Arabidopsis thaliana: one gene and its partner. Each later gene encodes a partner of the first gene's protein in a complex. Each region holds a gene or a part of one and is shown in the gene's direction. Other genes may lie near its edges. The genes, in order: PSB28 and PSBW.

Region 1 (3,825 bases):
TTCCCACCTTTTTCCTTTTGTGTCTTTTAACGCTTGCCTTCTAAGGAAGAAAAACAAAAAATATACCATTAGCTCTTAGCAATATTCGATTACATTACATATTAATGATGAATCAGTGATTATATTGTAAATCTCGTATTTAGGATATAGCCACCGAGGTGAACGTTCGAAGCATATAAGAATGGGTGACCTGCACATGTGATGAAGAAGAACAGATGATCCTATTACCCTATGCTCTGCAGCATATTTAAATATCAGATAGGTCCAAATAAATTTCATTATTAATTAAAATCAGCAATAATGAAGATATTCCCACGATCGATCTTCACGTTTCTTCTTACCCCTTTTGAATTTCGAAAAGCTTCTTTCTATTTGGTTGGTTAAAAAAAATTAAGATCGAGCCCACTCATGGCCATTATACGTGAAAACATATTTCTTTAGTTCAATCATACTTACCTTGATGCGTAACAAAAGTGTGAATACTATAATGTATGCCACTGCAGAGAGTGCAGGCTTGTTACTGTTCTTTCGTTTGCATGATTGATTAGATAAGAATCTTCCCATGTTACAGATTTATGGCAGTGTAATATAGGTATAGTATAATATTGTTGATAATATAACAAATAAAAATTAAATAAAGTGGTTAATTGTATCACTTCTTGAATGTATCAGCAAATTGTCCCTAATTAAAATGCTACTTTCTTAAACGTTCTTCAGATATAAAATTCTAATTTCGTAAACTTTCTACCTGATGTCTAAAAGACTAAAAGCATGTGTAGACGTATACACCCAAAGTCAGTGCCAATGCCTTTAAGGTAAAGTAAAATGGAGACGGAATAAAAAAAACGTACGTCAAACGAGAGAATATAATTTTTATTTTTTTTTCAGACTGCCCAATTAGCATAGCATAGTAATTTGATATCACTAAAAAGAATCCAAACTTGATAAATAATAACCGTGACAAATTCAACACCAAGATGTTTAAAAACTCAAACAGATATGTATGTATCAAGAACGGGTCGAGGTAAACTAACTGATCAATTTGATAAAGGATAAGATAAGCTAAATGCTAAATGATTTGTGGGAAAATGGCAGAGAAATGCACACGCATAATATTCATCAAAACAATTATTGTAATACTCCAACAATTACCCACTCCTCTTACTGATTTCATGTTTCCATCCTTCTTATTACAGTACTAAACACAAACTGTTGCTTCACATGCACTCATGTGGACCTGTCTTTTATACAATTGTTTTTTCTTTCTTATTATTTGTTGTTTTTAGAAAACATTCCGATCCGTAGTTAAGTTCTTCATTTGCTTAATTATCCTTTCGATCGTTGGATAAAATACCTTAAATTCTACGATTACTCAGTAAGTAATTTTTTTTTATATAATTGATAGAATACACTTTTCAGTTTTGAATCTTTCGACTGATCACTGATATATACAATATCTTAGGAAAATAAATAAATTTGATCTACACCATAAATATTATAATAATCAATTATTACCCAAAAGAACAATGGATGGTTTATAGGAGATTTTATAGACTATAGATCATAAAGAAATAAACACTTACAAGAGGTTTGAAGGCTTAATGGGATGCATGTGGATCAGCACCTATAGTGACTTAATTTAGTATTAATTTCTGTATTATCAGAGAGAGAAACCTAATCCCACAAATAAGTACCTAAACTCTTTGCAAATGGTGTTTTGTTGGGTTATATTATTAATACCATACTAATTAATATATTAACAAGTAAGTATGTATGCTGACGATTCGTCACATGGCCATCAGGGATCAGGCCATGGGATTCGCTATGGCATCACAGACTTGAGAGTCCAGCTTTTCCTTACGATCTACACGCATGTGCCACGTGTGTTTCATGCATCTTAAAAACCTCTGAGACAGCAAGAGACTCTCTGACTCTGTCTAAAGCCAAAATGGGTTTATTATATGACAATTTGACCAAAATGGGCTTATTATAAACATCTCGGGCCTAAAGGTAAAAGCCCATAAGTTGAGACGATGACGGTATCCAAATGAAGGAACGGCTTTGGTAGTGACACGTCACGATTCTCCCGCCACCACACCACAGCTTTTTGCTTCATCTCCTTCTTACTCTCTGTGTCTCTAACTCCTCGTGCACTCAGACATCACAGATATGGCTTGTGTTCGGTCGATTGGTTCTTTAACTTCTGTCAACCATTCTCAACGAAATGTTCCTCGCTCAGGTACGCGAAAAAACCCTAATTTCGCACTTTTGATTCGTCGAATTGGTAGTTGAAATCTTCGTGTTGCATGTAGCTTGAATAAGGAAAATTTCCCGTAATTTTCGGTATAATGCTGAATCCGAAACTGTAACGAGATTTATCGGAAACGAATCGGTATAAATCGTGTTTCTTTGCGAGCTCATGATTTCTCTGATTTGATAAACAAGTTGTTAAGGCAGTAACTTGATGTAATCTGATCATGGTTTCATAGTAAATGTGTGTTCTAAGTAATTGTGGATTAGGGTTATGGAAAAAGATTGGATTTTTACATGTCTCGCTATCAATTAACTTCAAGTGTGTAATTAAGAACCATAGTTTGATCCCTTTTGTTGCAGGCATTGTCTTATCTTCATGCTCTGTTCTTCCCATCAAAAGCTCATCTTTCACTGGATCCCCTGTTTCTCTCCCGCGGGCTCAACCATCATCCCGAACAGCTCTAAGACCGATGAAACCCGTCTCTATCACGATGATGGTAAAGCCGGCGCTCCAATTCATCCAAGGGACGGATGAGATGACAATCCCTGATGTTAAGCTGACTCGATCAAGAGACGGAAGCAACGGAATGGCACTGTTCTCTTTCGACCAACCATCCGTTTTCGACTCGAGCGGTGAAGTCGGAGAGATTACAGGATTGTACATGATTGATGAGGAAGGTGTGATTCAGTCGACGGATGTGAACGCGAGATTCGTGAATGGGAAACCGGAAGGGATTGTGGCGAAGCACATAATGCGATCGCCGAAAGAATGGGACAGGTTCATGAGGTTTATGGAGCGATACTCGGACCAGAATGGCTTGCAGTTTGTTAAGAAGCAATGAGGTTGGAGAGAATTTTCAATGAGCAAAACAAAATGTGTATGTTACATTAAATTTTTTCACTCTTTTGATTTATAATCTTGTACTCTCCTAGTTTTGATCTTTACTTGAGTTTCAACTTACAATGGTAATCTAGGCTTTTGTTCTGATTAAATTTGGTTTAATCTAAACAAATCCATGATTTTACTAAAGGTATGATCATAATTTCATTATGAATTGTGCTATTAGTCAAATACTTAACTGTGTTTGTGTTTATATTACGAGTGTTCAATCCAATTAAACCAAAACCGTGTAAGAGATTTAAAATAGAAAACACACTCCACTGAAATTGAACAGAATCAAAACTAAACCGAACTTTGAGCATATCCGGTTTTAAGTTGATGACCATATATAGCCAAAAGTCGTTAAGAATAGTTTATTATGAAAAGGGGCATCAAAGCATTGTTCCTCTGCATCATGGCATCGACGTTAATCTCTTCTTTGGCCGTTGTCTTGCCGTTAACGTTACTAGCTCCGTCAATGTCCATGAAAATCTCTCGAATCGACGTCCTCGGATATATTTGTAACAACGGCACCGTCTCCAACGAGGAGGCTTACCGGAGATCATATCAGATTAACCTCGACGCGATCAGAGGTGATATGAGGCATGTCAAGTTTGGAACTCATGAACATGGAGATCCTCCGGAGAGAATGTACGTTTTGTCGCAGTGTGTTAGCGATCTCTCATCCGACG
Region 2 (4,083 bases), on another chromosome or scaffold:
CTTTTCAGCTCTCCTAACAGATTGAAGGCCATGGAAGTTGCGTTATACAAGGTCAGCCGTGCCTTTCACAACTGCCCTGCCATTGCTACCAAACTCCAAGCCATGACTTATAAAACCGAAGAACAAGCTCGGGCGCAGAAGAAACAAGCAGCATATTTAATGCAGCTTGCAGCAAGGACTACCCCAAAAGGGCTTCATTGTCTCTCAATGCGGTTGACAACAGAATATTTTACCCTGGATCACGAAAAAAGGCAGCTTTTGCAACAAAGTTATAATGATCCTGATCTCTACCATTACGTAGTCTTCTCTGACAATGTTTTGGCCTCTTCGGTTGTTGTTAACTCTACAATCTCCTCATCAAAGGTAAATGTTTCACCTTTATTCTCTTTCTTTCAACATGTTGTGGTTCAGTTCCTTTATACTCCTGAATTTGATATCTGGACAAATGCTTTAGGCTTCTACTGTGGTTAGTACCATATATAGGATATTGTCTAGTTATGAAACTAGGAAAAGGAAGTTACATTTTGTGTGCTCTTTGTTCAGTGAATAACTTTATCTTTTTTTAAATTACAGTTGAGAAACCTTGCATTGTTTTATGTTTTCATGATTCAAAACTTATGCCCCATATTGCAAGCATCTTACACTTGTTAATTCAAAACTCAGGTATCATTTTAAATCATGTTGCAAGCATCTTAAACTTGTTAATGCAAGATTCCCGATCCAAACTTGTGTTTTTAATGCTCTTTTCCGAATCTCTGCTGAAGCCACATGTCTTTTAACAAATGATATTACTGCTTGCAGGAACCGGATAAAATAGTATTCCATGTGGTGACAGATTCACTCAATTACCCAGCAATCTCAATGTGGTTTTTACTAAACCCAAGTGGCAGAGCTTCAATCCAAATCCTAAACATTGATGAAATGAATGTCCTGCCATTGTACCATGCTGAATTGCTGATGAAGCAAAATTCAAGTGACCCAAGAATCATTTCAGCGCTCAACCATGCACGCTTCTATCTCCCAGATATCTTCCCAGGTCTAAACAAGATCGTACTCTTCGATCATGATGTAGTAGTGCAAAGGGATCTAACTAGACTGTGGAGCCTTGATATGACGGGGAAAGTTGTTGGAGCTGTAGAGACTTGTCTTGAAGGTGATCCTTCATATCGTTCGATGGACTCATTCATTAATTTCTCAGATGCATGGGTTTCTCAGAAATTTGATCCCAAGGCTTGCACTTGGGCATTCGGGATGAATCTATTTGATCTCGAAGAATGGAGAAGACAGGAGTTGACTTCTGTATACCTGAAATACTTCGACCTGGTACAACATTTTATCACCTTTTAGTTCTCTGCATCAAAAATTCACACTGTTACCTTGATGAGTTTTGAATTCAAAATGGTTAATGTGGCTTATGTCCGTCAATAGAACATCTTACATATGTGTATGTTGTGAAATTGTTGTTTTGGTTGCAGGGAGTAAAAGGACATCTGTGGAAAGCAGGGGGATTGCCAGTAGGTTGGTTGACTTTTTTCGGGCAAACGTTTCCGTTGGAAAAGAGATGGAACGTGGGTGGGTTAGGTCACGAATCAGGACTCAGGGCAAGCGACATCGAACAAGCAGCGGTTATACACTACGACGGGATCATGAAACCATGGCTGGACATCGGTATAGACAAGTACAAGCGCTACTGGAACATACATGTACCTTACCATCACCCTCACTTACAACGGTGCAACATTCACGATTGATTTTTTGAAACAAGTTACCACAAAACTTAGATTCAATTCGATTCTTTTCTTCTTTCCAAAATGTTATAATTAGCTTCATTCTTTAAACGATTTCTTGTGTAAATCTTTGTTCTTTTTGACACAACACACAAAATTCTCAGAGCAGAATATCAGATATAGTTCACAGCAACATAGGTGTTGTTCGTTCTTTGGGTTGTTATATATTGCAATCTGGATGCAGTTTATTATGATGTATCAGTAGAGAAGAGAGAAAAAGATTGTGTTGGAGGGAAAGAGATGAAATATGACACGTGGAGGGCGTCGATTGGTGGAGTATGGATAGAAGCATATCCAAGTTAGATGGCTTGTGTTGGTTCGAACAGATTTTTTATCCACCACATATTTATGTTTGATCCAAAAGCCAACACAAGCAAAGAAATTAAAAGTGTTCTTGTTGCTGTAGAACACAAACAGAACAAACAAAAAATCAATTGAAGAGTCTCTCAGTCGTTAGGGGAAGCAAATAGAGAAATGGCTAGCTTTACTGCCTCCGCTTCCACCGTCTCCGCCGCTCGTCCGGCTCTCCTTCTCAAGCCTACCGTCGCCATCTCTGCTCCTGTTCTTGGTAAAAAAGCCTTCCTTGATCTTTCTCAGATCTCATCTTTTAGTAGAAATTCATTCTGGTTATGTGCAAAGTGAAGAAGATCTTTGTTTGCTTATATTTGTTGAGTGGTTTTGAAAACATGTATAGAGATAAGTCTAGTTTGGTGGTGAATCAACAAGAAGTCAAGAAACAATTTTGATCTAAAGGTTTGATTGTAGTCAGAACCAAACATTAATAATAGAAGTATTGTGTAAATGAGAGTGTGATTTTAGACCAAACTTTAGTTTAGTGGAGAATCAACAATAAACAAATGTTGATTGTAACCAGTTTAACTATTGTTTGCTCAGGTTTGCCTCCAATGGGTAAGAAGAAGGGAGGAGTGAGATGTTCAATGGAGACAAAGCAAGGAAACGTCTCAGTCATGGGGGCTGGAGTTTCAGCTGCAGCAACAGCTGCTTTGACGGCGGTGATGAGCAATCCCGCGATGGCTTTGGTTGATGAGAGGATGTCAACAGAAGGAACAGGATTACCCTTTGGTCTAAGCAACAACCTCTTGGGTTGGATTCTGTTTGGAGTCTTTGGTTTGATCTGGACTTTCTTCTTCGTCTACACTTCATCTCTCGAGGAGGATGAAGAATCTGGTCTTTCACTCTGAAGGAAGAATCAATCTTTCGTCTTCTCATTTCCATTTTCATGTGAGAACATGAATCAAAAGTGTTCACCCTTCTAGTTTCTTGTAATTGTTAAGTAAAGACTAAAAACTATTTTCATGTGTGTTTACTTTCCCCCATTCTCTTTATCTTGTCATAACATTGATAAGGAGGAGATTATGTGATTATTAAATATCATGCATGACATGTTCATCAAAACCAAACAATTGAAATGGATGTATTCAAAAGCCCATCCATAATGGTCAGTGAGAACCAAATTGATAAATTAATCTTACATTTACATTTCAATCACTGATTATTACACAAGTTTTAGAGTCTCTTGATGAATACACATATAGTTAACATGGGGTAAGACAATAAAGCAAATTATCATTTATTCATTCATTACATAATATATTTGGTAGTAAACCATCTTCACTCCATTCTCCATAGATGATCAATAAAGACCAAACTCACTTTTTACCATGGAGATTATCAAAGTAACCTTTAGTATCACTCTCAAACTTATCTCTTGAAATGGTAGAAGATCCGTTGCTCCCCGGCGCTACCATGTAGCCACCTCCTCCACTACCGCCACCACTCTTCCCTCCTTTCCCTCCTCCTCCTCCTCCACAACCACCACCATTTTTCCCTCCTCCACCACCACCACCACTTTTCCCTCCACCACAACCACTTTTCCCTCCTGCTCCACCGCCGCTTATTCCTCCTCCTCCACCACCACCTTTCCCTCCTCCACCGCTACCACCTTTTCCTTCCATTCTTTGAAATCTTAGAAGTTCTTAGTGACTCTTTAAGAAAACTTAAGTTTTGTTTAAAAGTGAGAGGTGAGAGGACGGATATTTATAATAGAGTAAATTTTCAAGTAGATGGTTGATGAGGTCAATAAGGTCGAAGAGGCGGGAAGACCTGCTCGTTTCACGAATTAGTCATATTATTTTATGCAATTTCGTTTATTTAATTGTTGTTGAATGTTAGGGAAGCTTTATCAAGTTCTGCAGTTGTTTATTTGGAGTGGCCAGAGTTCTTTCTAACCGAACAAAAAAAAACAATTACAGAAAAAACTAACTTAGTCATGAAA

Evidence for each region.
Region 2: PSB28 (region 1) and PSBW share a complex: the UniProt entries of both Arabidopsis thaliana proteins name them as parts of the photosystem II complex.

Annotation. Positions count from the first base shown.
Region 1 is NC_003075.7:14,147,839-14,151,663, forward strand, and holds PSB28 (photosystem II reaction center PSB28 protein), read left to right. Parts: upstream 1-2,041; 5' UTR 2,042-2,169; coding exon 2,170-2,284; intron 2,285-2,613; coding exon 2,614-3,095; 3' UTR 3,096-3,260; downstream 3,261-3,825. Other genes in the region: AT4G28670 (cysteine-rich RECEPTOR-like kinase, putative (DUF26)), read left to right, coding at 3,549-3,825.
Region 2 is NC_003071.7:13,018,232-13,022,314, reverse strand, and holds PSBW (photosystem II reaction center W), read left to right. Parts: upstream 1-2,003; 5' UTR 2,004-2,261; coding exon 2,262-2,355; intron 2,356-2,681; coding exon 2,682-2,989; 3' UTR 2,990-3,287; downstream 3,288-4,083. Other genes in the region: LGT5 (los glycosyltransferase 5), read left to right, coding at 9-363, 802-1,323, 1,476-1,751; AT2G30560 (glycine-rich protein), read right to left, coding at 3,458-3,750. UniProt on the Arabidopsis thaliana protein: Stabilizes dimeric photosystem II (PSII). In its absence no dimeric PSII accumulates and there is a reduction of monomeric PSII.